3 linked regions of the Alligator mississippiensis genome follow. The protein of the gene in region 3 purifies or fractionates together with the protein of the main gene of each other region. This does not show direct contact. Links are inferred from orthologs where the notes say so. Each region holds a gene or a part of one and is shown on either strand. Other genes may lie near its edges.

Evidence for each region.
Region 1: the proteins of TCTN2 (region 3) and TCTN3 purify together in Homo sapiens (affinity purification with mass spectrometry; 3 studies listed by BioGRID and IntAct, with this or other methods). This does not show direct contact. The link is inferred for Alligator mississippiensis from reciprocal best matches to the Homo sapiens genes TCTN2 and TCTN3.
Region 2: the proteins of TCTN2 (region 3) and TMEM231 purify together in Homo sapiens (affinity purification with mass spectrometry; 3 studies listed by BioGRID and IntAct, counting the BioPlex papers as one, with this or other methods). This does not show direct contact. The link is inferred for Alligator mississippiensis from reciprocal best matches to the Homo sapiens genes TCTN2 and TMEM231.

Annotation. Positions count from the first base shown.
Region 1 is NC_081829.1:101,206,884-101,217,544, reverse strand, and holds the start of TCTN3 (tectonic-3), read right to left. Parts: upstream 4,047-10,661; 5' UTR 4,032-4,046; coding exon 3,518-4,031; intron 3,442-3,517; coding exon 3,303-3,441; intron 2,537-3,302; coding exon 2,415-2,536; intron 217-2,414; coding exon 86-216; intron 1-85.
Region 2 is NC_081833.1:77,752,244-77,762,298, forward strand, and holds the start of TMEM231 (transmembrane protein 231), read left to right. Parts: upstream 1-5,783; 5' UTR 5,784-5,798; coding exon 5,799-5,940; intron 5,941-6,058; coding exon 6,059-6,225; intron 6,226-6,534; coding exon 6,535-6,663; intron 6,664-10,055. Other genes in the region: GABARAPL2 (gamma-aminobutyric acid receptor-associated protein-like 2), read right to left, coding at 30-202, 5,108-5,163, 5,242-5,275. UniProt on the Homo sapiens protein: Transmembrane component of the tectonic-like complex, a complex localized at the transition zone of primary cilia and acting as a barrier that prevents diffusion of transmembrane proteins between the cilia and plasma membranes.
Region 3 is NC_081833.1:5,965,435-5,975,123, forward strand, and holds the start of TCTN2 (tectonic-2), read left to right. Parts: upstream 1-5,692; 5' UTR 5,693-5,742; coding exon 5,743-5,815; exon of another isoform or gene 5,816-5,861; intron 5,862-6,569; coding exon 6,570-6,686; intron 6,687-7,053; coding exon 7,054-7,127; intron 7,128-7,933; coding exon 7,934-8,129; intron 8,130-8,932; coding exon 8,933-9,033; intron 9,034-9,581; coding exon 9,582-9,689. Other genes in the region: GTF2H3 (general transcription factor IIH subunit 3), read left to right, coding at 437-490, 1,069-1,137, 2,430-2,565, 2,661-2,697, 2,795-2,864.

The sequences.
Region 1 (10,661 bases), on a different chromosome or scaffold from region 3:
TTTCTCCCTCCAGCACTGACTCTTGTCACCACTAGGAAACCCAGAGAAAAGTTATGACAGTCTTCTGAGGACTCCTTTAACTTACCCGGTAAAAGGCAGAGGGGGGTGGCATGGGTTGTGATGGTGACACAAAGGATGGGCCACCATACTGCTCCAAGAGCACTGGGAAATTTGATTCTGTAACCTCCTGTGGCTGCTGAAAATAGTTCAGCTTTGCTAAAGATAGGGAAAGAATAAAAAGAAACCAACCCCAACATCAAATCATTAGAGAAGACTGAGGGGGGGGAAAAAAAAAATCACATGTTGCATAAGTAGTCTAAGAGGACAAAAAGGAGGACCTGGGTAACTACAGGTTGTTTAGCCTGACATCAGAGCTGGGCATGATGGAACACTGGTGAGGTACAATGAGTCAAGGCTGTTAGGATAATTAAATGCCAATCAATCTGGGTGTATAGAAAATAGGTCTTGTCAAACAAACTTACCTTTTTTTTTTTGCTTAATTTTCAGCATGGATGCTAGATGTAACTGTGTTGAAACAGTTTCAGATTTCCATAAGGTACCCGACATTAACACTATACAAAAATCAACATAACCCCTACTAGATGGTTCAAAACTGGCTAAGTGATAAACCTCAAAGCAATTGGAAATGAGGAAGTCTTCCGAAAAGAGAGGCTTTCTATTGGCATCCTACAAGAACCCCTTCTTGGCTCAACAGTATTCAATATTGTTATCGGTAACCTGAAAAATATAAAATCTTTGCTGGTAAAATTTGCAGAGGGCACAAAGCTATAGAGATAAATAATCATGGGGACAGATCAGTTTACACAGACCAATCTTGAAAGCTAAATACAGAAGGCACATCTGAACAACAGGTACTGTAATAAAGTGAAATCCAAGGTCATACTTCTAGGTACAAAGAATGTAGGTCACACTTAAAAGGGCAAAGCAGGACCCTTGGATATATAAAGAGGGGAATATCAAGTAGTAGCAGAGAGGAGATATTACCTTTGAACATGGCATTAGCAAGCCCATTACTGGACTACTGTGCTCAGTTCTAACGTTCACAGTTAAAAAAAGGATGTTGAAAGAAATCCGCAAATGTTCAGAAAAAAGATAGAAGAATATTCAGAGGCCCAGAAAATCTGCCTGATAGTGAGAGATGTAAGATGGCTCTGTGGAGGTGGGGGAGAGCAGTGAATGTGTCACTGAATTTACCTTGACTTTAGCAGGGCTTTTGACACCATCTCTCACAACACACTCATTAACAAGCTAAGGAAACACTGAGGAAATGAAAGGACTGTAGGATGTAATGGTTCAAAGACTAGATGGAAGGAGGCATCAAGTCGGGCTCCCCCGGGGTCCTCAGTATTGTTTAGTATCTGCAATAATGATTTGCATGATAGGATTGAGTGCATGCTTGACAAATCTGCAGACAACACCAAACTGGGTGAAGTTTCAGACACTGGAGAATAGACGTGGATAAACTGGAGAAACGGTCTGAAATCAATCAGAATGAATTCAAGAAGGACAAGTGCAAAGCCCTGCACTTGGGACAGAACAACTGCACGCACAAATACAGACTGGGGAATGACTGGCTAGGCTGTAGCACTGCAGAGAAGACCTGGGGTGACAGTAGACCACAAACTGAATACGAGCCAACAGTGCGCTCTTGTTGCAAAAAAACCAAACAAAACCCCAAACCAACAGCAACCTGGAGTGCATTAACCAAAGTCTCTTACATATCAAGGGAGGCAATTCTTCTGCTCATTTTAGGACTGGTAAGGCCTCCCCTGAATTCCTGTTTTGGGCCCACAATTCAAGAAGGATGCAGACAATTCGGAAAGTCCAGTGGGGTGACAAAACTGATTAGAGGCCTGGGAGGAAGAGTCATGGGGACAGGCTGAAAGAACTAGGGCTAAGAGACTGAAGGGGTTTGGAGCACAGCCTTCAAATACCTCAAGGACAATTAAGAAGAGGGTGGCTGTAAAGGACAGGACTAGGAATAATGACCTCAAACTGCAGCAGAGGCTACAGTTTAGGCTACACGTTAGGAGGAACTTGTTGAGCATGAGGGTGATCAAGCATTGGGACAGGCTCCCTGGAGTAGCTGTAGGATCTCCATCCCCGGAAGTTTTCAAGAGCAGGTTAGAAAGACGCTTCTCTGGGATGGTTTGGTCAGGGATGATCCAGCCTTGAGCAGGGGGCTGGGCTAGATGAGCTCACGGGGCCCCTTCCAGCCCTGCTTTCCCGTGACCCTACTGTCTTCCACTCGGTACGGAGAACGTACCTCTGCCCTCCCGCCGCCAGGTAACCGGATGCACCTCTCACCCAGCCTTACACTTTCGGTCAAGCACCTTAGTGTTCCCTTCCCAGCCCATTTTAGGAATTTGGTGTCACAAGGAAAGACTACTTACAGTCGTTCAGCTGCACACAGAACAGCCGAGTCTGTCCACTGGAATCAGTGACGGTTTCCGTAGGATACGGGGTGTTATTTCTGAAAATAAGCGATTGCTCCACACACACCTGGGTCTTAGCCCTGCCCAAAAACACAGAAAAGGGAAGATGAACCCTACCGCCCTGGCCACATGTACGTTCTCCGCTCCTAAATCCACCCCACGGCCCAGCCAACCGAGCGGATGCTGCATTACTCTTCATTTCCTAACGGGAGTTATCCTACAGGCCCAACACAAGGCAGGGGCACCTTCGGCGCTAATTCAGAGACATGAGGTTTCACAGGGGACAACTGACTTCACCAGTTGTTCCACGGTGCTGTTTTCCATCTTCAAATCGCGACGGGGAGGGACCCAGGAGGCAGCGAAGCCTGCATCTGAGGCACCTGGGCTTCCTCGGGAGGACAAGCGCTACGGGGACAGGAGGCCAGAGCGCGCCTCCTCCCAGCGCCGGCCTCGCTCCCGCCCAGCCGGCTGCGCTCTCCCGGCCGCCCCCTCGCCCGCCCCACGGCCTCGCCAGCCACGGGGCCGCCGGGCTGGGGAAGCGTCCCGAGCCCTTTCCTGGCGACCCTGCGAAGGAGCCCAGGGATTCGGGCACAGGGACACGGCCAAGCGCCTGCCGAGGGCCGGACGCCAGCCCAGTCTTGGTCGTACGGCTGCTGCGAGCGGCCCCGGCTCTCGCGGGCCTGACAGCACGGTGCCCGGCACCGGGCGTGCGAGAAGGGAGTGCACGGCCCAGGCCCTGCGCGCACGTGTGCAAGGGCAGGGCATGGCCCCGCGCACACACGGCCAGGAGCAGCCCCATGTGCACACACGCAGACACTCGCACGCGCGCGGCCCCGGGGAGCCCACCTGGTGCTGCCGGGCAGGCAGCGGGCGAAGGCGGCGCGCGGCGGGCGCAGGTCGCAGCGGGGGTCGCAGTCGGCGTCGCAGCAGCAGGCGACGTCGCAGGCGCCGCGGCGCAGGTCGCAGGGGCAGGCGGGCGGGCAGCCTAGGGCGACGCCACGGACGGGTCAGCGGGCACCGCCGGCGGCACGGGGGGCGGGGCGGGGCGGGGCGGGGCCTACCTGCGCCGGCGGCCGGCGGCGACTGTCCCTCGGGGGCTGCGCTCGGGCGGGCGGCGGAGGGCCTGGGGCTAGGGCCGGCCTCCGGGCCGGGGGGGGCCGTGCTCGGGGGGCCGGGGCCGGGCCCGGGGGGGTCGGTGCTCGGGGGGCCGGGGCTGGGCCCGGGGGGGTCGGTGCTCGGGGGGCCGGGGCCGGGCCCGGGGGGGTCGGTGCTCGGGGGGCCGGGGCTGGGCCCGGGGGGGTCGGTGCTCGGGGGGCCGGGGCTGGGCCCGGGGCTGGGGCGGTCGGCGCTCGGGGGGTCGGGGCTGGGCCCGGGGCGGTCGGTGCTCGGGGGGCCGGGGCTGGGCCCGGAGGGGTCGGTGCTCGGGGGGCCGGGACTGGGCCCGGGGCTGGGGCGGTCGGTGCTCGGGGGGTCGGGGCTGGGCCCGGAGGGGTCGGTGCTCGGGGGGTCGGGGCTGGGCCCCCCCCGCGCCGGCGGCCCCAGTAGCAGCAGCACCAGCAGCAGCGGCGCGTCCATGACGTAACCCGTCGCTAAGGAACCGGCACGCAGGCGTGTGACGTCATCGCGCAGGCGGGCCGGCCCCACCAGGCCCCGCCCCCGGGCCTGGCCCCGCCCCGCCCCGCCCCGCCCGTCGCGGCCGCCGGCAGCTGCGCGTGGCCGCTCTGCTCCGAGTTGCGGTTCCCGTGGGTCGCGCCTGTCCGCCCCGCCCCGCCCCGCGGGTCTCCGGCCGAGGCGGTCAGAGCGCCGGACCCAGGATCTCCGGAAACGTGCCCGTCCCTCGCGGGGCGCCCCGGGGCCGATGCCCCGCGGCACCACGGGGAGCGCACACGCCGGCTGCAGAAATACCTGAGCCTGCCCGCGGGTCTTGAGCGCGCCGGCTTGCCTTATACCTGGTTTCGGGCTGCCGGCGCGGGTCTGGTACAAGACACCAGATTGGCCCACGGGCGCTCGCGGCGCCGCTCCGACGGCAGGGGCAGCCGGCGGTTGCTGTCGGCAGCGCTGCGCCGTGTCCCGCGTGGGGCTCAGCGGCTGCCGGCGCCTGCGGGGAGCGCGAGGTCCGGGGCAGGGGCAGGCGCGTCCCGGCAGACACGGAAGAACAGCAGAGGCGGACGAAAGGCAGACCTTGAGCCGCGCGGAGAATTGCGGCGCTGCCCGGCTGTCGCTGCCCGGTGCTGATAACTGTGTCCTCGCGCTCCTCCCCGCGCCGTCCTCTCGCCGGCTGGCGGCAGCTGGTCGGGGGTGCACGGGGCGCACCTGCCCCCGACAGCTGACACTGGTCCTGTCGGTAGGGCTGGTGCCCCCTGACTGGGCGGCATCTGCAGGTGCCCCCAGACTCGGGAGGCACCAGACGTTCATGTTCTCACCTCAGCTTCAGTCCACACCTCATACCCTTCTCCCCTGCTTTACCCCCAGACCACCGTCTGTGAAAAGCTCCTGTGCCCTCAGGTTTCTTTCCGTGCATCTGGCTCCCTTATCTTCAGTCCCCTCAAGGAACTGCAGGAAGCAGGTGCTATTTGCTGGCACCGTGATGTTCGTCCTGCTGGTTGCGTGGTACCCATTTGTATGGCACAAAGCATAACGGGGTCCCAGTCTCAGTCCATCGTAGACACAGTTGAATATTGATCGCTAACAAAGAACCGCGGGAGGATGGAGATGCGGTGCTCTGGGAAGGCCGATGGACTGGGTAGGGGGGTAAGAAACACCACTAGGTGCCGCCAAGCCTGTGCCTAGGCGCACCGAACGTGTGCAGTCAGTGGTCTGCCTCTACGGAGCAAGGGAGCAACGGCCACGTTGAAGACGACGAGGGAAATCGTGTTGCGGGGGTGCAAACAATCTTGTTTGTGGAAACCCTGAGCAGGGAAAACGTACTACTCCTAGGGAAGGAGGCGTGTGGCCTGACAGGCCAGCGCAGCACAGACCGAGACAGGCAAGGAGACAGACTGCTGGAAGAATTGGACAACTAGTCTTTTGGGAGCACAGAAACTCTGAACGTTTAGTCAAAAAGAAATTCTTTGCCTCCTGTATAGTTTCTGAAAGCCCTTCCCTGGCCGTCCTGTTTGGAATCCACCTGGTTCAGGAGACTTGTCCCTGCCCACCTGCTTTGTTGGGCACAGTCATATGAATTCTGTGCCACCCTGCGAGGGTACGTCTAGGCCAGAACCACTTGGAACCGAGTCCATTTTTATTTTTTAAGCTCTAATTAGGAATAGTATACACAAAATAATCCAGAATTACTTATTTACTCTTAATAGGCACATATGCAAAGGACTAGACAGCACATAATGCACCTGAACAAACAGCCTGGCGCTCTTCTACCCATGTTCTGTTAGGGTCAGAGGAACATTTTAATAAGTTAAAAAAAATTCAGCCTCACATAATACACAACAAGTACTTAAGGGTTGTCTTTCCCTCTAAACTTCCTTAAAATATCTATTGGGTTGAGAAGAAGCATGGAAGAAATTCAGCACAATGAGATGTTTTTGAAAAAATGACAACAGAGTCTAGAATTTAAGCTACTCTGCTGCTAAATCAGGTTTGAAACCACTGCAGGTGAGAGTCATCACATAATGTGACACAGAGAAAGAGAAAAAGCCTGAAGGGAAAAGCTGAGGAAAGAAGTCTATACATCGAATGTGAAGGCTTTTACAATTTCTCTGGACTGTCACAAGGGATAGATCCTGGGGTGAGAGAACCTGGAAAGCAAACAAACACACGAGTCCCCCATGGCCTCCCCCAAAAAGCAGCAGCAAGACAAATAGCAGTCTTGGGGAGCTATCAGTTGTCACTCCAAGACTAAGGCTTGAGCTAGGCTGCGCTGCTTGAAACAAATGATCAAAGCTCTTTGAGGTATCAGAAAAAATGGCCCTAATTTGTGATGGGGTCTCACATTTCTGTCTCCAAGCAGCTCAAGAACCAGACCTACTCTCACTCCTGCAGGTTTTTTGCATAGTTCGGTCTCCCCACTCTGTAAAAAGAAATTTGTCAGGCTGCTTTTGAGGTAGCTGTAATGAAAAGTCTTCCAGACACTGAATGTCAAGGAAGCAGCCCTGTCCTTGACTTTGCAAGTGTCCTGTTTCAAGCTCTCAGTTCTCTCCCTTTCTTCTGAGTAGGCAAAGTATATGCCTCAGTTAAGGAACACAACACTGAAGCTCCCCAGCTGAATTTCACACCATCGTACTTTCCAAGCATAATAGATTTTCCTTTTTTTCATTTGAAAGCAAATTGTCAGACCAGTTTTAATCAGGAATCCTTAAATCTGATCCATTAGCATTGTGCTCACAGGACATGGCTCTCCCCTCCCTTAAGCTAGGCTAAATTAATATTGCCTATGTCCAGCGCAGCTGAATTAAATGGGTAAGGCTTCTGCGGGAGGAGAATCAGGCCTAGAGTAGTTAACATCTGGGGCTTGCTTTGCTAAGATTTTGCTTAGCTAAAATGGCACATTATGAAGATTCAAAAGCTATTCAGACTGCAATGTAGTACTGACTTGTTCAGGCAGTGGACGCAGGCCCTATTTATGGGGAAAGGGGGCTTGAAATGAAGGCTTATTTTTCTCCTTGCAATCCTGGAAAGAAGACATTGCCAGTGGTTGGGATGACCTTGGCAGTTCCCTGGGAAAGTGCTCCTCCTCCCAGGTGGGGCACATGAAACCCGCAGGGATTCCCCTTCCCCAGCCCCTGCAGGGTCAGGGCTGGCTGTTACTCAGCCGGATGAGAGGGAGACTGGGGAGCAGGCAGGAAAAGCAGTTTTCTGCCTCAGGGCCCTGGCTCCCTCCAACATCTGCTTCCCACGGGTGCGCTGCTCCAATCCTGAAGGCTAGAACGTGTGGCAGTGACCTTGGAAAGATGCAGCAGGGAGTCAAAAGACAATAGGTCTGTCTCATCACTAAGTGTAGGGAAAGATTTGTGAAGGGGTTTAAACAATTTGTTGTAGAATATACAAGTGCTGTCCCTCCTGGCCTGCCCCTGCCTTCCTTTTGTTCTTAAAATCGCACAACTAAAGCTGTTTCCTTTGCTCTTCTGTTCCTTCCCAGGCAGAGCCAGCTTCAGGCTGCAGTTGCCCCTGTGTTCTCTTGGCACTCTGAAGCCACAACATGCCTCAGCTGTTTCTCCTCCTGCAGGTGGACCATCTGCCCCTTTCCCCTGGAAGAGCAGGGAGCGATCTCGCAGAGAGGGTGCTGAGGCCCAGGGGCCACTAGTTGTTTCAGGGCAGGTAGGTAGAGGAGCGGCTGTGTTTGAAAAGAAGGGGGAAGGGAGCATATCAGCCCCTGCTCGTTTCTTCCCAGCCTGGTACAAGAGCAGTAGGCGGGAGCCTTCTCTGCTCCCTCCTCTCCTGCAAAAATGGAGATTTTTCAGAAACAGGAGCTGGCTCCTGGGCTGCCTGGAGGCCTCAGCAACTCTAGGAGGACGAGCGGAGGAGGAGCAGAAGGGCCCACATGAGCCTCTGATGCAGAGATCCAGGAATCCTGAGCACGCACCACCACCTCTCCTGCGGTGCCCAAGACTGCTTCATCCGTTGTTCTAGAGATGGACGTGGACACTCGTGCATCTTGCCAGAGCCTGCCCTATTCTGGAAGTGCTGGTCTGTATATCTCAGTCACTGTTACTTGATTACTAATTCCCCTTTTGGAGGAGGGTGGGGGTGTGAGCACACTTCTTCTGTGGCCACAGGGGTCAGGACAAGGAGATCTAGCTTGGAGATCAGGAAGAGCTTTCTCTGTGCAGGTGGTTCAGCATTGGGCCAGCTGCTTGGAGAAGTGGCATCTCCATTGCTGGAAGTTTTAAAGAACAGGTTAGAAAGAAATATACTTCTCTAGGGTGTTTTTTGGGGGGCGGGGATCCTGCCATGAGCAGGGGGTTGTCCTGGATGCGGCCTCATGAGGTCACTCTGGGAGTCTCGGTAGATCACAGACTCATTGGGGTGTCGTGTGGTGCAGCTGCATAAAAGGCAAATGTGGTCTTGAGCGTCAGTAGGAGCATCAGATACAAGAGACGGGAGGCAATAGTGCCTCTCTACGTGGCACTTGTTAGGCCCCATCTAGGGCATTGTGTGCAGTTCTGGGCTCCACGTTTTAAAAAGGACGTGGAGAAGTTAGGAAGAGGCTCCAGAGGTAGGTGACAAAAATGATGATGAAGAGCTTGGAAAGCACGTCATACGAGGAAGGGCTAAAGGAGCTGAGCACATTTAGCTTGCAGAAAAGGTGCTGAAGAGAGGACAGGGCAGCAGTCTTCAGATATTTCAAGGGTTGCCATAAAGAAGAGGGAAAACACCATTTCTCTCTTACTGCGGAGAGTAGCACAGACACAGCTGCCGAGAACATCTTTCAAAAGAGAGACTGAACAGCAGAGGCAGAAAGGTGATGAGCATAGCTAGCAGCGATGGGAGTAGAATTCCACATAAAAAAAATCTGAGAGCCTGGAAACCTGTCTTTGGGGAGGGTGTGTAATAGAAAGGCATGCCAGTCCCATCCTCTCTCCATCCTGTAACATGAAAACAAGGGACCACTCAATGACATTAGAAAAATAAAAATTCAGGGTGAAAATGGGAGTAATCAAGGTGCTTGCTTTAGCAGGATGTTTCTGAGAAGAGTACTATGTAAAAGGCTTGTGTTCTTAAAATAATTATTCTGGGATCATCCAGAGAGTCTGGAGCACTGCTGTCAAGCCCCACTGTTCACAGACTCCTAGAACAGTAGGGCTGGAATCGCAGAATCGCGGGCCTCCTTGGGTCCAAACCCCTGCCCGAGGCAGGACCATCCCTATCCAGCCCCATCACCTAACCTCTACTACAGCCAGTCCCAACACAACGCCAGACATAACCCAAACCTGCCACAGGGAAAGCAGGGGGCCCTGGCAGCCAGCATCCTGCTTCTGTAAAGGTTCTTGAAAAACACTCGGATCCCAGGCAGAGGCCGTGTTCCCCACCAACGAGGGAGGCAAACCTCCCCGGTCCAGTCTCTCTGCGGCGACTGGTATGACTCTGATCAAAGGGGCAGACCTCAAGGTAACCTGCAGCATCCTCTGAGAACACTTTCATGCTGAAGCCACGGTGTGACATAGAGGCAGTTTTCTACAGCTACAGTCTGGCTCTGCTCCTCGGGCATGCAGGTGATGGGTACTGCAGCTGCTGGATATGTTTCAAGGCAGAAGGTCCAATAACTTCCTTCCTCCTCTGCAAATACAGCAAGCAGATGCCTGCAGTGCTGCACGGGGGCCCGGCCACTGGTTGTTCTGTTATCTGCCGACTGATCAGTTGCTTCGGAGGCATTTCTCGAAGACACGCTAGTCAGGTTTCTAAATCCTGCAGACCTGTCCCAGAGATCCCTTTGCTCCCAAGGTTCCTCCGCTCTTTCTGTGGTCGTTTCCTTCCCCTGCTCTCACCCAGGGAGGCTGAAAGGTCTCTGGCTTCCACTCCAGCGCTTTCCAGTCCCGTCTCCCTGTTCCCTCGAGGTCAAGCTAGCATGCCCCAAGTGCCTATCTCCACTTGGGCACTGACTTCCCTTTACCCAGGCTGGATGATTATTTTGGCTTGGGGGCCACTTCAGGAACGGTGGCAAGCTGGTGGGGAGGAGGGGTGGGGGCGAAAGGGTGCTGACCTGGTGTAGTTGGGGGCAGGGGATGTTGACATGGCTTGGCTTGGCTTGGCATGGCAGGGCGGAGGGGCCAGGGAATTGATCCTACCTGGCCCGGTCCCATCTGTCCCGCACCTACTGGTGGGGGGTACCAAATGGAGCGGGCAGACGGGCATGGTCTCTATGGCGACCGGCCCAGATCCCTGCAGCCCAGACACAATCCCTTGGCAGGCTGGATCTGGCCCGTAGGCCATATTTTATTGGCCCCTGCCCTTACCACATTGCCTGCTGCCCTGCGTCCTGAAGAGTGTGTGTGTGTGCACGCGCACATAACCTCTGGAGCAGGATATTTCTGAGACAAAAGTACGCCTTAATGAGGCCAAAAAAGGAGCTGTGGCATTGGAGGGAGAAATATCAACCTCCCGTGAAGCTGACCGTGTTAAAACTGTCGATGTTTGCTGTCATCAGGCTTCAGCAGTTAAGGTAATTTTTTGCTGGGGGCAGGGGACGTGTCTCCTGCTACTCTGGGTGCTGCTCCCATCCTAGGAGCCTGGCTACCCCGCTCCACGTCGCTG
Region 2 (10,055 bases), about 72 Mb from region 3:
ACACACTTTCCAGTGGAACAGCCTCTCACCTGGACTGTGGGACAGTCTTGTCTACAAAGAGGAATATTGCTTTCTCAGATGGCAGCTGAATCCTCTTCCTGATGATCCACATGAACTGGGCCACAGTGATGTCAGAAGGAACCAGATACTTCCTCTTGTCAATGTCAACAATCTGAGAGCCTGAGACCTTCTCCACAATGACCTATTAAGCACAGACACAGAAGAGAGGCTTTCATACACACAGAAGGATCAGGTGAGTCATTTGCTGGCACAGGTTTACAATGCCAGGAGAAGGTTATCCAACAGAGAAGGTGCCCAGATTTGTTTCAGAAAAGAGGGAGGGTCTAGTGATTAAAGAATGGAAAACAAGGAAAACAAGAATAGTAGAAGGCAACCAAGGGCTTACTAGATGGCAAAACACTATAGTGGTGCCATTAACCTCGGGTCCAGACTGACTTACTACAAACAGCCAATTGTTCCAAGAGTACTGACATCCATGTGCTTATGCATATTGCCATAAACTTCCCTGTGCTTTTCTAAGGCTGCCAGGCCCTGTTCTGAAACTTAACTTTCCTACCCCTAAAGCTAGCAGTAGCCACTGTCGGTATAGTGCAGCCAGAGGAGCCCATAGCGAGCAGACACAAGGACTGTGTTTCTTGTTAATCAGAGACTTACCTTTACTGTCATTCTGCATCCTGGTAAGGTCTGAGCTCTGCTGGACAACCTGAACTCAGCATTAATAGATACTGGGCAGCAAACAGTCTCTTAACTGGCAGCTACCTACTAACATGGTCAAAGGCAAAGATACTCCACTGTTTGCAGAACCTGCGGCAGGGGGGGTGTCAGGAAAAAAGCCTTTTCTTCCTAAGCCTTAGGGTTGCAAAGAGCCCTCTCATGCTGGCCTGTTAGCATTTTGCTCCACCCACAGGGACCTGATAAGGAGCAGGGAGTTTTATTCTGGTGAGTTTTCCTGACTGAGGCAGGCCACAACAGCACTCATCTCAGAGCAATAACCCACTGGGACTAGTGAGTAAAGAGCTCCAGATAAGTGTGCACAGTCTCTTACTACAGTTGGCTGCAGTGAAAGGTTATGAGAGGAGAGTGAAGTCAGCTTAATATATAAATAAATGGGACCCACGTTGGACTGTCACCTATCAACCCCAGATGGAAAACTCATCAAGGCAGGACTCCCCTTCCCCCTACACTATGAAAGCTTGGGGAAAGTAGCTTCAGAAGGAAGCCAGCCAGAAAGTCATTCTTATGCTAACGTTTAAAGCATCATTAAGCTTTAGGGCTAACAACCATAAGATAAGAGGAGCTGGCAGGAATTCACAACTGCAAGTAGCTTTCCAAGCTGTGGCCAGACCCAGGCAGACAGTGCTATATTGATGACATTCATCTGGAAAGTATCTCCACAATGAAGAAGACTGGCAGTGTATTAAATGGGGTTAGAATCTGACAATGCTAAGCAAGTTACCTAAATGAATCACAGAGGCAGACGTGTTATCTGTCTGCTGCTCCACCATAGGTTATTGTTCTTGATACATGAATCACTGGCTGAACTTCTCTGGTTTATATCATGGAGAGGTGAGCCCAGCTGACCAAAATGGTCCCTGCAGGCTGTGAATTGTATTGAATTGGGAATAATAGCTTGGGAGAAGTCACGGCAGTCCTGGGAGAAGGGCCACAGAAACCAAAGGAAGGAGGCTGCTGCGATGAAGGGATATCTGATGTTAGCTGCAACTGCAGGTCAAGACCTGATCAACACTGGTTCCCTGATGCCAGACACCAACAGCAACTAACATGCTAGGCCTTGTAGGAGAATGCAACGTGTGGTGGTGGGGGCTGTAGCAAGTACCAGTGTCTCCCCTTCCCCGCACTCTCTCAGAGGTTTCCATGATGCCTGTCACTGTAGTTTCAGAGTGCCAGAAAGGAAATTAGACTGCAGTTAGTTCCCTAATGGGGTTCAGAGAGGATTGTGCTCGTCTCTGCCCCAGGTCACACAGCTGTCTTTGCAGGGGTAAAGAAAGGAGGCACAAGGGTTGGCTGGTACATGCTTAGCAAAGAGCAGCAGCAGCAGCAGCCTACAGAGGGGAACTGGGTTTCAAAACCTAATAACTGATATTTATTTTGAAAAATACCATTTCCTCAGGGTTATTTAACCTTTGTCCTCCAGACTGCCCTGGCTGTAGGTCTTGAGGTCTCCAAGACCCAACGCCTGTCCCAAGTGGGGATTACAAGGTTCAGAAACACCCCTAGTATTGGGCAACTTGGCTCCTAACCAAAAACTCAAGTGAACAGAAGCGATTCTACAGGAATCTTGGCTGCTTGGATGCAGAAGGGAGCCTAAAGAGATGACTGCAGGTACTTAGATAACTATTTCTGAACAATGAAAGCTCAAATATCTTGTAAATGACAGAGTGGAGTAATCAGAGAAAGTTGATTAAAATTGTCCATTTAGATCACCAAGCTGGAAACCTTGATTTAAAAAAACCAAACAAAAAAGAGTTTGACTCTTGTTTTGCAACTCTAAACTCCAGTTTGGGGGGTCCCCAAAGATTCACCCCCTAAAGGTCATCTCAAAGAAGCAGTGCTGGCTGGTGTGCCACATCTGGCTCTCAGGCCCTACATGGGAATGATTCTTGAGGCTGGAAAGCCTCACAGTACGTTAACTGCAACTGAGTATGCCCTTTATCAAACTCTATTTGGATGGGAATTGGAATGCCAATAAGTGTATAAAAAATAAAATTATTTTTGAGTTAAAAATTTTAAATGTACTGGCTATCCAAAAATAGCATGCATCAAGCAACGCTTTCTTTTAAAACAAATGTATTGTACAAATAAATGAATAAACTTTCTGGAGCTCATGAACTGAACTGAGTGTTTCTGGTCACCATGGCTTTAGAATTTTAGAACTAGTAGATCTTATCTTTTCATATGTCACTTATTTATAGATTGGAAGAAGAAAACAAACTTTACTTCTTTTTCAAGTACTATTTTTTTATAAATTGAACGTGCCAGTCATTGCACTTAACTAGTTGAATAAGCTGAAATGAAGAAAATAGCTTCCCCGAATCTACAGGAAAAACTACTGCTGTCAGGACTGTTAGTACTTCATAATATCTGGTTGCAGGTGGTTACTCCAGTGGTTTGATTTATTAAAAATGTTGGCAGTAAATACACACTCCCACATATCAACTCTTAAGTGTGAGGGTGTGGGTGTGGTGGGGGGAGGGGGGGGGGGGAGAGAAGAATGAGTTTGTTATAAAACTAGGCCTTAAAATAGGTTGTCAGACTTTTAGCAGATCTATTTAAAAATCAGTTCAAATAAATTTCTCATTTAAAATTTAAAAATTAAGTTACAATAAAATCTATTTATTGTTTTTATTCCTAGTGATACAAAGTGGTACTTGGAAAGGCTCTTCTTGAAAAAAGGCTGATTTCTTTAGTTACAACAGGTCTCTCTGGAGTAGGAGTAGGCCCACTGTACAAACACCATCTCACTTGGAGACATCTGGGACACCTGCTGCTCGGGCTTGTTCTAGCCACATCTTCAGAGCAGAACCTCACAGCTGTCCTGCAGTGTCTTATTCCTTACAAAACAAAGTTCAGGACAGTGTCACAGAGACCTTCCAGCCTTATAAGTCATAGGGGAAGCCATTCTTACTTGGATTTACAACCAAAGACAAACCTACGTGGTCTGGCAATCCTGCACCTCAGTCCCCAGAGAGGTACGACACTATCCCTTGTGACAAGGAAGCAGGGATTCAGCTTAATGCACAACTTCAAGCTACGGATATATCTGCAAGGCACAATGTCACGCTGTGCAGATACCAAGCTAGCTGTGGATGAGTAAGGTCAGGTACCAGCATATAGCCACATTTTGCAGGACACACCACATGAGCTTATTAGCCACGTTGAGAACAGCCACGCAGATGTACCTTCCACTGCTGGGACAGATTCCTGAACTGCAGACATGAATGCAGGAGAATGGAAGCGAGAGAGGAGGATACCTGCTCACTGAAAGTCGGCTGGGATCAGGCTAGGATGACTCACTGAAGATAGTTATGATTTATTTGGTTAAATTGGTACTGTCAAGTTATGGCAGCTGCACCCATCAGGAAAATAATCCCTGTTAAAAGCACTGTGGAGCGAACCCCACCGTGGCTACCATCAAGGGGTTTAAAAAACCTGTGTGGAATTGAGACCCACGTGTCCTCAGTTCCCATCCAGCGCTCTCTTCCCTGCACCCGTCTCACAGCACCGAGCCAAGGGCTCGTTTTACAAGCACAGAGAAGGCCTAAAAGACAAACCTGAGGCCTACGAGAAACAAGCAGCATGTCACTGCTGCTCCCTGAGAGGGACTCTGCGTGTGAGATTCGGGACCGCATCTAGACATCTGAACTCCCACTGATGCTACCCAACACAACTGCACCCGTCAGTGCACCTCGGTCGCGATTCCCTCCATCCACTCACACAAGCGTCCACTCCACAGGAGGTGGCAGGGTATTGTTAGCCTCATCTCAGATGTTTTCTTTTCACACAGGTTCCTTACTAGAAGCTGGTAACCGGCTAGGATTGAACCTTGATTAGACAGCCAGGGAAAGTGACACCTATCGAAACGTGTTGATCATCAGCAAAAGCTGGTCCGCGGGCTAGGGACCGCACCCCAGGAGGCAATGAAAGGGGGGCGCCGAGTTCGAGGGGGTAGGAGGCAGGGGAGATGGAGACAGGCACGTCTTGCCAGAGCAGCCGGAGGAGATGCTGCTGCCAGGCCGGGGGGAGGCGAGGAATGGGGCTCAGCTCCCAACAGGGGGGAGCCACGGGGGGGCGGGTCCCCGACTGCTCCAGAGCTGCCGGGTCATACCCGAGGAAGGCCGCGGAGGGGCCCGTGGTGGGCGGCAGTCAGACGGGCAAGCGGATGCGCTCCCTCACGGCGCGGGGGCTGCGCTGCCCGGCGCGAGGCGGGGGCACAGGATGCAGCCGGAGGGGCCGGGCCGGGCCGGGCCGGGCCGGGCGGGCGGGATGCGGAGGGCGGAGCCCCGCGACGCGGTGTCCGAGCGGGGCGGGGCGGGGGAAGGCCGGGCCGAGGGCCGCGCTCACTTACCGGGACGCGGTCTGGGTACTTGGCCCGGATCTTCGCCGACTCGACGCATCGGTGCTCTGCGAACAACGCGCGGATTAGTGCGGGGCCGGGCGGCCGGGGGGGCCTCCCGGGGGGCGCGGGGTGTCCGGCCTTACCCAGCGCGTGGTCCTCCTTGAACATCCACTTCATGGCGGCGCGGGGCCAGGCTCTGCCGGGGTCGGAGCCGGGGTCGCGGCGGCCCGGGGGCGCTGCCGGGGCTGCTCCGGGGGCGGCCGGGCCTGTCGCTGTCACAACAACAACAGCTCGGCGGGCGGGACTTCCGGCCCCCCCGTTGCCCAGCAACCAGAATAGGTTGCGGAGCTTCCGGCCCACGGTGACCGAGCAACGAGGAGGGGGCGGGGTCGCGACATCCGGGACCGGTGACGCGAGGCGGAGCCAAGCCGCGCCCCGCGGCCACGTGATCCACTTGCTAGTCCCCGCCCCCGGCGTCTGCTGTGGTGACGTTTACTAGTGGACGGTGCCGGTACTGGGCTGACACTGACTGGGCGGGGGGCGGGACTCGGGCGTCCTCAGCTTCAGGCGCTGATTCGCTGCTGGACGTAGGCGCGTTATTATTGGCCGCCGCGCACTGGCCCCGCCCAGCCGGAGCCACGCGCGGATTGGCTCGGTTAGGTCCCCGCGCGCCGGCCGCGGTTGCTATGGCGACGCAGCCATGGGCCGCGTGGAGCTGTTCTCGGAGCCCGCGCAGCGCACGCGGTACCGCGCCGGGCTCTGCTCCGCCGCCGCCCTGGGCCTCGCGCTGCTGGGCGCGCTCACCTACGTGCCGCCGCTGCTCGTGGCCTACCGCAGCCACGGTCCGCGGCCGGGCGGGGCTAGGGTCCGGGTCCGGGGGCCGGGGTGGGGCTGGGTGGTGGGACTGGGCGGGGCGGGGTGGGGTGCCCGCGGCTGCCGGCTGACGGCGCGTCCCCGCAGGACTGTGGCGCACGCAGGCCGCGTACCGCGAGCAGCCGGCCGTCCGCTTCCGCTACGAGGCGCTGCTGCTGGCCACGACGGCGGCGCCAGGCGGCGGCCTGGCCTGGAGCACGTTCCCCGCCTTCAACCGCCTACAGGGAGAGCGCCTGCGCGTCCCGCTCGTCGCGGTGCGTGTGGCGGCGCCGGCCGGGGCCGGGGTGTGCCCGGTTCCCCCGTCCGCTGTCGCCGCAGCCCGGCCAGGCCCCTGGGGTCAGGCTGGGCGCAGGCTGTCACCTGCCGCGGGTGGGAGGTGGCTGCAAGCGCTGCTCTGGGCACAGCCCGCGGGCCTGGCTCGGCTCCAGCCCCTTCCTGCAGGCCGGGGCCATGCATGCTCTTCCCCCTTGGAAATCCTTCCTAGTGTCGAGGGTCTGCCGCTGGGACCGTGCTGGCACCAGCACCAAGGCCAGAGCGTCATTAGGGTTCCTTGTTACTTGCAGACTAGAGAAGAAGATAAGAATCAAGATGGCAAGATGGACCGGTTGCATTTTAAACTGGAGCTTCCTTTGAAGCCAGAGGAGCAAGTGCTTGGCGTGCAGCTCATTCTGACTTTCTCCTACCAACTGCACGTGAGTCCCCGTCTGCCTGTAGTGCTCCTCGGTGCAGAGCCAGCGCCGGCTTCCCAGTAGCAATGATATCAATCAGCGGTTCTCAGCGTTTTTGTACAGGACCCATTTGTGAACATCGATGGCCAGTCCCGACCCAGTTGTGGGGCAGCCGCGGTTTCCCACGTTTTTTTCCTTTTAAAGGAGAATCCATTTTTAAAGCTTGTTCATTACCCTTTCATATATTCTTGTGACCCACTTTTGGTCACACATGTGACCCATGGGTTGAGGAACACTGATCTAAAGTGATAATAACAGAAAAGAGAAGTGATTGCAATACTCTAGTAGGTGAGACTTATGTTACGACTTATTTTTAGAACAGTGAATTTTCATTCTAATTCGCTTTTCCATTTGTACTCCTTTAATGTAAGGCTGTGGTTCTCGACCTTTTTGGAGTCAAGGCACTCCATGTTAGATTCAAAGCAACTTTCAGAAAGTGCCAGCTTTGAATTTCTAGTCATTTTTTGCCTATAGACAGAGCAGTTTTTCTTTTGCAAAGAACTTGGGCCACAACAGGTCAGAACGCTTTTAACACTCTGGATTCCTATTTGAAATCTTTGGGCTTAGCTTGTCAATTGTGTTTGCATGCCTAACAGCGATAACACTGTGTGGCAACCCATGGCACTCGTGAAAGGATCGTGACACCCAGATTGAGAATTACTGATATAAGGGAAGGTACATTTCCATTGGTTGATGAAACTGTCCAAACATGTAGGTTTACACTAGGTTTGCTATATCATTTTGCTACCAAGGAGGGTCCTTTAACACGTGTATAGTCACATCATAATGTTCTGTGATGTGTGGCATCATAAATATTTAATAATTTGAGAAAGGAGCCAATCAGAGCTTGGAGAAGGGCAAGCTGTAAAGTAAGAGTATTGGCCTCAGTGAAGGACTTGGATGATTCCTGAAGTTGTGTCTTAGAGCTTGAGCCCAGGTCAAACGCTTGTGATGGCATTACCAATTACTTGCATCCTCAACATAGCATGTAATCTGTTCTGCCATATTTATGAAGCTTGACCTCAGAAAGTGAGATGTTTTCCCTGGTTTCTGCTTTGTCTAGGAAAAGCGTACAGCTTACGTCTTGCAGATTGTAAAAATTCTTGCTGGAGGCTCATGAATTCAATGCATCTTTTTTAAATAGCTTTTAAGAGATTAAAATTTTAAGTAGGGCTGTCAATTATTAGGGAAGGGACGGGGCAACAAATCAAGGCCCCATGGTGAGGGACGGATTGGAGCAGAGGCTGGGGTGAATGAGGCCCCGGGGCCAGGGTGGGTTGTGGGACGGAGTCATAGGTGGCTTGTTCAGGGGCATGGGGGTGGTGCGATTCCCCGCTGCTGTGTGCTCCCCTGTGGGGAGCATGGGGTGCATGTGCCCCCCAGATTTGTGTATGGGGCAGAAATGGGCTGCAGGCTGGGGCTCTGTTCCCCCCTGCCTTTGCCCTGGGAACTGCACGCTGGCTGTGCCGCATGTCCCTTGCCCACCTGTGGTGGGAGGCACAACATAGTGTCACATGGCTCCTGGGCCAAAGGCAGCAGGCACAGAGCGTCAGCTTACAGTGGGCAGCCTGCCTCTGCCCTGTGCATAAATCTGGGGGACACATGCCTCCCCCACAGGTGTGCACAGCAGCAGGGAGCTCCATCCCTCGTACTTTATGTCCCTGGACAAGCCTCCCACAGCTCTGTCCCATGATGCGCCCTGGCCCTGGGGCCACATTCGCCCCAGCTCCTTCCCCACTCCCTCCCTCACTGTGGGGGCCTCAGTCTGCCCCTCCTGCCCCTTCCCTCTCCCCGTGGCCCCTCCCCTCCAGATTTACTTGCTGGGTGCTGCTCTACACACTGCTGAGTTGCATTCCTGTAGGGTTACCACACTTTGTTTAAAAAAAGAGGGCATTGGTGGGGAGGCAGGTGGTAATATGATTAGTGGGGTGGGGGCAGTGATATGCCCGTGCCCTACCTCTGCCCCTCACTCCCAAGCCACAGCCCTCCCCCCCAGCCCTGCTGCTGTCCCTTACTCCTGACCCACAGTACCTCACATCTGCCAGGGTGTTCGGGGCTGCCCACCCCCGAGGCTCTAAACCCCACACACACACCCCCAGCACCCCACACCTTCACAAATCCCCCCCTCTAACCATACAAAGTACCTGCATAATTTTGAGTTTCTCTGTGCATAATTTTGAGTTTTTAGCAGTGTGATTAAAATCATAATTAATTGCGACTAATTTTTTAGTGCAATTATATTTTTTTGATTGTTTGACAGCCCTAATTTTAAGTATTAACATAAGTTGTATTATGTTCAGAATTTACTTTATGTTCATTTGTTAAAAAAACATAACTTTGTATAGCAAAAATAATTTAAAAAAAATTGATTGTTAATATATATATAGATAGATAGATACACACACATATATCAGCTCTAGTTTTTATTAATCAGTGATTATTTTTCCTTCCTCTCTTTTTTTTCCCCTTCCCAAAAGGACACTAGCTTTGGTTTCCCCTAAGTGAGTTCTGTGGCTCTCTGTAAAATTGGTAATAGCTGTTAGGAATCTTCTGGAACCCCCAGGGGCAATAGGGCTGCACAGGGGACACTGAGAGTACACAGCAGCAAATCAAGTGATCCCTGTGCAACTGACACCAAGAATACAACACAACCTAAGAAAGGGGTGATTATGTTGTTAGAAGCCCCTTATCTTCTTGCCACACTTAGTGGTATGGCAGCTTCTGAACATAAATGGCAAACCATTGCAGAAGCCTGGAACCTCCACAGACCTATTTTTTTGCAATTCTTTCATTTGCTCTTAGATTTTAGAGTCAAGGGGCTATTTTGAGCTGCCTTGACCCATTAAACCAAGGGTGTCACAGGCCAGTATAAATGGAACCCTACATTTCCTCAGATGGCGATGTAGATTTAGCAACTTCTTGCAACTAATCCATGAATAAGTGGATTATTGCTGGCTGCACCTAGTGCAGCGAGGATCAGGAGGTGTGGGGCATTATAGCATTGTAACGTGTTGGACATGAGACAGTATAATACCAGCCTGTGGTAGGGAAAGGCTGGGGTGGGCTTGATACCACCATATTGCTAACTGCAGAGTGACTGGGGTAAGGAAGTGTAGTTAGGCAGTGGGAGGAGTACTTTTCATTCAGTTTCCTAGGCTCAAGGGGCTACGTAGAGGTAAGATTTCCTGGCAACCTTAACTCTGTTCAATGGGAAAAGTGTGGGCAATAATTGGTACCATGTGGGAGGGTCTGACATTCCTCATGCTTGGCTGGTTGTGTCCACAAATATAAGAAGTAGATTTCATGGCCTAAATGAGCCAGCTAGCTGGATGGTTTGCCGTGTCAGAACTGGTCAG
Region 3 (9,689 bases):
CAGGTGGTTAACTATTTGGGTATTTTTTTCAATATCAACACACTCAAACATAAAAAGATTGTCACTGTTGCATTATGTGCTTCTAGTTTATGGGATCTTTTGGGAGAGGTGAGCATCTTCACCCTCAGGGAGAAAGTGTTTGAGCTAAATGTAGGTGCATGTCATTGCACTATAACACAAAAAGGCTACCAGGTCTGCCCAAGATTGCTACTGAGGTCCAGACCCCACTTTCCTACATCTTATATATGTGGTACGTTGGATAAGCTTCAGCCATCAGTCCTTGCCTAGCCATTTGGTGGGGAGGAAGGCTGGAACATGCAATACACACTAGAGTTCAAGAGCTTCAATTTGGGTGTAAACTCAGGGCAGTAATTCTACTGGAGGGTTATTTTTTGTGCTGCTGTAATTGTGATTCTTTTAATCTTTTTGATTGCAGAATATTTTGATTGATGCCTGTGTTTTGGAGAACGATTCGGGGCTCCTACAGCAGGTACCATGTACATATTTGTATTGCTTATTGACTATTTTCAAGTCTTGGATGAAAAACAAAAAATCAGTATACTATGATAGGTAGCTTGATGCGTTTGAAATAGCTTTTCTCAGAATTCTTTTGCAGATTGTGCCTAGAGGGGAAGAGCTCATACCTGCTAATGTGAGAAGAGGAAAAAAATTAGTCTTAGAATTCGAAAAAACTTATCCAGAAATCGAGAAGAATGTTAAAAGATTTAAGATGTGCAAATGATTGTAAGAACGGTTCTGTTTTCAGAAACGTTCATTAAAAACGTATTGGTTCTCTGATTGAGGCCCATAGACATCCACACTTAATTTCTGTCCTTTTACTGTGGTAACCAGCGGAAAAAACATTTTCTTGTGTGGAGAGTTGTCCCCTGTCCAGCTTTCCCAGAGATGATTCAGGACTGAGAGTATCTAGGGCAAGTAATTTCTTTAAGATTTGAAATCTGTAGGACTTATATGGCTTTTCTAGCCTTTCTGTAGCATGTAGGTGTTTCTCTTGAGGCATATATCAGATTGTCCTTGTGCTAAGTGTTTATAGCATGTGCTTTTCAGGCTTGTGACATCACAGGAGGCATATACTTGAAAGTGCCCCACATGCCGTCCCTTCTGCAGTATTTGTTGGTAAGTGAATGTGAAAAGAGCATGCAACAAGAGCAGCAGCTTCCGAAGTTCCTATCGACTTAGTTGGGAGCGGGGGTAGATTCCATGAGCTGACCGAGAAATTGAGACTTAGAAACCCCAGTTGCTTGCAGGGATTCAGCTGTTCTGGTTTCATTTTCTTTCTGCTTCAGTAGATGTTGCCTTGGAAAATTAGAGGGCTTTGGAAACAACTTGGGGGGGGGAGTCTTGCAGGAGGACTTTCACACATGGCTTGCTCATTGTAGGTCAGCCTGACAGGCTTAGTAAAAGATAAAGTTGCATTGTTGTGAGAGAATATCCTAACATGACAGACTGGGGAACTGAATAAGGGGAAGTATGTCTTGGTGTTTAAAAACACTGCTTAGCTGAAGTGCTTGTGCTTAGCATCTGATATTTTGCATTTATAAAGAGGGGATGTTGAGGGGAAAAAGCAGTATTTTTAACCTTTGCTCCTGGATTGCTGGTTCCATCCCAGTCCAGATGGAGGCTGACTCAGAGGTCTGATTATCTGATGGCTGTTTCTTGCTTTATTATAAATGACGTGGTCTGATTCCAGTTCCCAGTTGTGAGTCACCTACAACACAGGACTGATCAAAATGGACAGTTAACTTATAAACATGGTCAGGGCTGTCCCCGGGGGGGGTGCAAATCAGGGTGACTGCCCCAGACCCTGTGCTTTGTGGGGAGCTGGGCGGAGCGGCCGTGGCGACTCCGCACTGCCGCCGGCTTCATGTCCGGCTGCTTGGTAACTGCCCCCGCCAAATCCACTGCCAGCTTCCTGGCATCCAGGGGTGGGGCCCTGCGCAGGCTGATTTGCCCTGGGCCCCACACCCTGCTCGGGTCAACTGTCATATTTGGCATAGAGATCAGTAACTTTGTGGCCCAAGAAGATTGCAAACTCTCCTTCCTGCAGAGGTGTTCCTACCAGGTCAAAATATGAAGTACAGTGGTGGTGGGTAGGGGAGTTTCCCCATTGCCCCTGTCTGTTCTGTATCAGTCAATCGGTGACTTGTCTCCATGGGTGTTATTCTGTCACCTCTAGCAATCACTAGATGAGTGTGTTTAAAGTTAATACTGGATGCTGATGCGATGATCAAAACATTTCCTGGAAGAACATGGGAAAAAGTCTTCTGCCTGTTTATTGTCCCAGTGCAGTTGTAAAGAAGAACGTACTTGGTAGATGGGTGGGTTGCTTTCCTTTATGCTAGAATTCTTTAATTTAACTTGGTACTTTTCTCCCAGATTTAAACTACACCCTACTTTTACTTGTACAGTGGGTTTTTCTTCCTGACCAAGAGCAAAGATCTCAACTCATCCTTCCACCCCCCATTCATGTTGACTATAGAGCTGCTTGCTTCTGCCATCGCAATCTCATTGAAATCGGTTACGTTTGCTCTGTGTGTTTGTCAAGTAAGTGTACAAACACTTTTATACATAAGTGACCTAAATTATTTTGTGTTGAGGCATGGATTTTACTTACACTGGACTGTTTTTTACTTTTCTAGTATTCTGCAACTTCAGTCCTATCTGTAGCACATGCGAGTAAGTGTTCTTTTTTTAGCTTATTTGCGTGTTATGGGTTAGGCCTGGAAACTCATTCAGCATGCCTGAATTCTGACTTTTTTTGCTTTTATTTCAGGACTGCTTTTAAGATTTCCTTGCCTCCTGTCCTGAAGGCCAAGAAAAAGAAACTAAGAGTAGCTGTATAGCAACTTTACAGATGCACGCTGTTACCTCATGCATATAGTTCTGTTAAACAGAATATGACTTAGAAGTTGGTGACGGTTTTTTTTTTCTTCCAAAGGATGAGAGAGAATTGTATTCAGGTGTTGTTGTTAATTCCTTAAGGACTAAACACGTAAGTGTCATGCATTACATGCACCAGCCCTTTCGTTAGATGAATGGTTGCGTTGGTGCCTAATCCGTGTGATTTTTAAAACCACATTCTTGCTTGTGATTGTCGGAAACCAAGCACTGCTTTTTCTTAAATACTTGTGAAGCAAGCAGTGTCCTGATGATGCCAGAATAGGTTTCTAGCCTGAGAGCGCACAAGGCCCTGATTCGGCAAACACTTACGCACATGTGTTTAAAGCAAACCTAAGTATGGCCATCAGCACTTGTGGGATCTAGATCTTAGTTAGAGACCTAATTTGCAGTTCCCGGGGAATCAGAATGCTGTTGACTTGCTTGGAAGTGTTACCTGCAGGCAGGCTGCAGCAGGATGAGACTCTTGGGAAATGACCCAAGGTTTTCAACACAGTTTACAGTCTGCTCTCCTTTGTAAAGAGTTAAATCTGATTTTTTGTTTTTCCCACTGCACCATTTTTTTAGTGGCATTATGTCCTTTCTGGGCATTTCTTTTTTCCTTCCTCACTTTGATATCTTCTCTCCAAACAAATATTGTTTGAAATCTATTCATCTGAGTAACTATTACCATGTAATACGCAGATGAGTAATTTTCCTGCTGAAGGTCATTAACACAAACTTTCCTCACTTTGGAAAAATAACTACGGGGTCCCTTTTTGTTTCTCAGATGAGTGTCAGCTTAGAATGGTAAGCTTGCTGATTAGATTTTAAGATGGTTCTTGAAACCGGAAAACACTTTAGATCTATGATAATAAGATTTGTTTCTAGGTTTTAATGTAGTATGGCTTACCTAGAGCATTCACATGACACTTAAGAAGGAAGTTCTGCATATTTTGCAATGATATTTTTGTATCTCAGAATGTGAACACACACTGCATGTTCTCAGTTCAAAGCATTTTGTTTTGATCTAAAAAAATTAAAAATCCTTGTCTACTTTTAAACTGTAACAGCATATTTGGTGTTTTAACATGTATTTAATAACTGATGTGCTCCTCAAAAGTATAAGGGAACTCATTATTTTCTATTTAGGAAAAAAAAAGACTAGAGAAATTCAGTTTCTTTTTTAAAGATGTATATAGCAACTGAGACTTCATTTTCATCGGGTTGTTGTCTATGTAACTGTTTTATCAAAAATACCTTTTTTTTTTTTTTTTACTGGCTTGTTTGTTGATTGAAAACCATTTTATTTGAACACAGTATTTATAATTTCTTTTTATATGAATATTTGTAATAAATAAACCACTGACTTTATTTAAAAAAAAAATCCTTTTCCTTTCTTTTTATTCTAGTAATATTTGAATAGGAATTCCATCTTTTGCTCCTTTCATTTATTAAAAAAAAAAAAAAAAAGTTCTAAAATGTTTTGTACAAGCCCCGCACCAGAGATGATATCAGGCAGTGGTAGCTGCAAGTCCGAAGCTCTACTGTTGGTCTTGTGGTATGATGCAGAGGTACCCAAACTTTTTTTTACCCCCTTCCTGATTTACCAGCTGCCCACATACCCCTAGCAGCATATTTTAACACCTTTAAATGACAATTATCATAATGAAAATTAAATCCGCTGTTACAAAATCCCCCCCCCCCCACCAGATGTCTTGTGTACCCCTATGGGTATGTGTACCATAATTTGGGAACCTTTGGTATAATGTATACATCTCGATTCCTTTTGCCAAAGGTTTAATGGTCATGCAGAAGGTTTGATGTTCCCGTGCCGATTTTGTGCGTGTGGCCACGCAGTAGCTTTAAAATCACAGCGGATGAGAGTGAGCGAGTGATACCAGCTTGTAGAGGAGGGGGGCTTGGTTCCCAACTCTGCTGCCTCAGAAGAGGAATACTTTTGAGTGAGTGTTTAAGGGGAGGGACTTCCTAGCGCTGAAGAACAAAAAAGATTTCTGCATTGCCTTCCCTGTCATTTTAAAGTTTTCGAACAACCGTCATGGTTATAAGAGCAGTTTCACAGTATTTCCTCCTGTAGGTGGGCTTGGTGACCAGCCTCCCGCAGCCATCCCATCCCTGTCCTCTCCAGGCGCCCTGGAGTCAGGATCTTGCCAAGGCTCGCCAACTCCATTTGTATCTATTTCAGGAGGTTTCACTGCACGACGCAATGGCATTCATGGCCATCATAGAGGACGTTTGGTTTTCTGCTCCTCTGTCCTCTATTGATGCGAAACCTGACATTTTTACGTCCTCTATTTTTCTCTTCAAGAGTAATAATATGCCCTCTATTTTTAGATGTCCTCCTTTCTGTCGTCTATTTAAGAGAAAAATATTGGACGTCATTGGCGACAGGTAGGGGGTGCATGTGCACCCCCGAGCTTGGCAGTGCACCCCCTGCAAAAAGCACCGCCGATGCCGCTGGTGGCGCCTGCAGGCAGTTGCCGCTTGCCCCCCCCCCTGACACTGCGGGCAGCCTCCGATCACCGCTGGCAACGCTGCCGGCAGTGCTGTGACGGCCTGCGGCACGCGGCGTTCACAGAGGACACAAAGGAGATGAGGGCAGGGCTCCCGGAAGGGGCGGGCCCTTCCGGCGGCCGCCGTTTCCATGGCGCCCGGGAGGGGGCGGGCCTTTCCGGCGGCTGCAGTTTCCACGCCCGAGAGGATGCTGTAACAGAGCCCCGGAAGGGGGCGGGTTCTTCCGGCCGCCGCCGTTTCCATGGCGCCTGGGAGGGGACGGGTTCTTCCGGCCGCCGCCGTTTCCATGGCACCCGGGCCCAGGCCAAGATGGCGGCCGCCGCGCAGCCGTGGGCCGTGATGGCGGCGCTGCTGCCGCTGCTGGGGGCGCAGGGCCCGCTCGGTGCGGCCCCCGGGGAGGCGGCGGGAGAAGGCGGCTCCCGTGGGCGGTGCGGGCCTCCCCGTAGAGACGCTGCTGGGCTGTGCGAGGGGGGTCACTGCAAGGCCTCGGCACCCTTTTTCCCTTAGGGTGGCCTCTCCCTTATTGGACCAGCTCGGTAGTTGGGATAAAGTCAGGCCAGCTTTTCAGTGCAAAACCGCCTTCCTCGGGGCCTCGAACAGAGCTGTGCTGCAAGTGGAGCAGAGCAGAGGGGGCGGGCGGAGAGAGACTCCTGGTGCGCTGGGCACGAGGCTTGTGGAAAGGGAGAGGGGGCAGTCTCACCACCCTTGCAGGGAAAGCATTCAAGGGTTGGATACATTGGATAACTAGGCCATAAATCCAACATCAGCGTTTCGTCCGTGGTTCTTAGCGTCCAGCCGCTCTGGCTCATGTGTCCGTTCCTAGGTTCGCCCTTTAAAGGTGTGAGGTAGATTTCATTTCCCCGGAGCGCCAGGGCAGGGCAGGCGAGGTGATTACTCTGTGGGAGGTGCGTTCCCAGTGGTCTTTTCTAACTACAGAGCTGGTCCAATAAACAAAACCACCCTAAAAAATCCTTGCTGCTTGTGTCATTTTTGCACCGTCATGGCCACATCACTTTTCCACTACTAAACTTTAACGCACCAGCAACGAAAAATGAATCCAAGTCCGCCCCAAATGTGATCTGTTCCTTCTTTTTTGGGTAGCATGAAAATTCATTGTCATTTCTTTTTTTTTTTAGTCTTTCAGCCTTCTTTTATCTACATGTCCGGGCCCGTTGTCAATTCTTTTTTAACTGGGAATTCAGCAGGAGTCAATTTCTCTCTCGCTGTAGTAAATCATATGGATGCTGAGACAGGTGAGAGGACTTTTTAAACCATTTTTTAAATGACCCATTGGTAAACATTGGTTTAAATCTTAATTCACTTCCAGTCCCAGACGTAATTGGAAGAATGGTTACATACCCTGTTATAATTGCTTTGGCCCTGTGCTTCATTCGTTACCAACCCCGGAGCTTGAAAGAACTGCTGCTGATCCGAGAAGGGTTTGATTCTAAAGTGGGCTTTGCTCAGAGCTCCTTTGACTCTGGGGCTCTGCAGAGGCATAGTGAGTTTGTCCGTGCGGCACCAGTTGTAACAATGGGATTGAATTCTTTTTTATTTTGCCCTGAAGAGAGTGCTTAACAGTAAGGTAACAAGTTTTAACACACTTTTTTTGGAATTTAGGATTCTTGCCACTTTCAGACTGTAGTGGGAATAGAAGGGCTGGTGACTGGAGTTTGAACGTAACACCTGGCGTGGTATGTAAAATAATAGTTCTTCCCTGTCATTGTAGGTGGTTGAGATTTAATGTGTTAAGAATTTATGTGATGCTAACTTGGTAATACATAATATGCCCAGGTTTGGCTTCTTGTCTTGGCATTTTGCTTCTTGGAGAACCCCTGATTTTGGACACCAGAATTCCCAGGGTGCTTTTCATGAGAGTAAGGGCTTGGAGGTGCCATTTGTCCTGTGCCTGAGTGCTGTCCTGTCGTTATAGCTGATTGGTACCATCCTAGCTGGAAGGAAGAACCACGCTTGCTGTCACGTGCCTGCAGCTTGTGATGGTCATCAAAATCTTTTGCAAGGTGCCACTTAAATACAAAATTATCAGTTTTCTCTATTATGGTTGTGGAACTTCTGCAGAAGTATCGTGCTCAGTGCTAATGGGGATCACTGGATTTGCATTGTTCAGTGGCCATCCTGGTACAGTAGGTAAAGCGAGGCCATGATGGACTCCAGAATTGGGCCTGTTCTCACTTCTCAGAAGGATTCTACAGAAAACCAAAAATTAAATCCTTTTCCTGGCATTAGGCTTTTGCATCTAAGTTTTGAGGTAATGCATTTCATCTGTATGGATATATTCATAAACTGTATATACATGACAGCCTCCTTTATTTGCAAATCCCAGTGCATATTTTTCACATTCCTCCCAAAACATATATTCCTTCTTAAATAATTGGTACCCCAGGCGATATGCAACAGTACTGAAACTTCTCCGAATGCGGTGTAGAACTAAGTATAATCATGTACATTTGACCATCAAACTTTATCTGACATTTTTCAGGATGCTTCCAAAGTGACAGTGAGTGTGACCAGAAACCTGCAGTTGTGTTTGCTCAATACTACTGATTGCTGCACAGAGCCCCTCTGTATTATTGAAACTCTTCAAGTTTCTGCTTGCCGTGATTCCAAAATGCTGGCATATCTCCTGATTCAAGCTGAAATATATGCCAACTCTTCTTTTATGGGAAACGTGTCGGGTAAGTGTGTAGCCTTAGTACAAAATCAGTCTTCTGGGTTTTTTTATATTTTATTTTTGAATATTGGTATGTCTTTCTAGGCATTCTGATGATTATTTTAAAACCCATGATGCACTAGCTCTTACTGCTTCAAACTGCAACCTGTAGACAACAGGTGAAATTCTGGCTTTGCAGAAATCAAAGATAAACTTATCATTTGTTTTCAACAGACTTGCTTTTCATCCAGTAATTTTTGGGACTATACTCCTGCCCTTTTGATTGTGTGCAATACTGATTCAATCAGTTTATTATGAGCTAAATTATTTTAGCAGTTCTGTTGTTGGTAAGTCAAACAAGTAAATGGCATTTTAATACATTTTCAATTAATTAACACACTTTTTTGAGTAGAAAGAAAGTGGAGATCATCATGTAGGGACTGCAGATTTGAATGATGGCTTACCATTGAGTCAATCTACAGTTTTTTAATATAAAAAGGATTTTTCTAATTTCTTATGTTACTAGTGATGCATTTAAAAGTTGGAGTTTTGGATGGCTCTCCTTGTATGGGTATAAGTGATTGGACCTAAATGTGAGGTAATGAAAAACTGCCATTAGAGCAGGAATAAAAGATACCAGAATTATGTTTAACATATTTTTTAAATAAGTTACACACAGTAAGAATGAACTCTGATGCAGACATTCTTTTACTTTTTTTTTTTCAAAGGAAAGTGGTCACCTAATTTTGATAAGTGGGATTGCAATGTAAGATAACATGTTGACTTTAGGTAGGGTCTAAATTTTTTGTGCATTACTTTTTTTAATAGAAAATGCATCAGTCATTCCAAACCAAGTGTATCAGCCTTTAGGCTCTTGTCCTTGTAACCTGACAGCTGGAGCCTGTGATATTCGCTGCTGCTGTGATGAGGTACTGATTTCATATTTAACTTTTCAGTTATACCTTTTATTTTTTTTATACTCCAAGTTGTCTTGGAAGTGTTACAAAATCCACTGACATACCTGAGAAATTATTTGTCAAATATTGTTCTTTAGTTTTTATTGCCATGGACTTTGAGGAGTACATGCATCATTTTAAACCAATATAAAACTGTAGCATAACCTGTGTTTCAGTGAGAACATTGTTTCTGTCCTTTGGTGTTTTAATAGTAGATTTAAAAACGAGCCCCCCAAAGCAAACAAGCAAACAAACAAATCCAACTTATTTTATTTAAAACATTTAAAGGTCATACGAAGTTTGGCTGTTATAGGGCAGCTACATGTGTTGTAGTCAGTGCATAACATTTGTGTCAGTCTCTCCGTTCTCGCTGTAACACCGAGGAATGTTAGGAGATTGGTCCACAGCTTCTTAAATAACACTTCCTCTGATAATCACCTGTCATGATGAAAGCCCGGCTTTAGCGCGGTGGTGGGGAGAGATGGTTTATCTTGTTAAATAACTTCTTTTCTTTTTTTAAGGAATGCTCCTCGGACTTGAAACAGTTGTTCAGTGGATCCTGTTTCACCGGAGTGTTTGGTGGGAATGTAAGCCCGCCTTTTGACCAGCTATGCTCTGTTCAGGCAGCG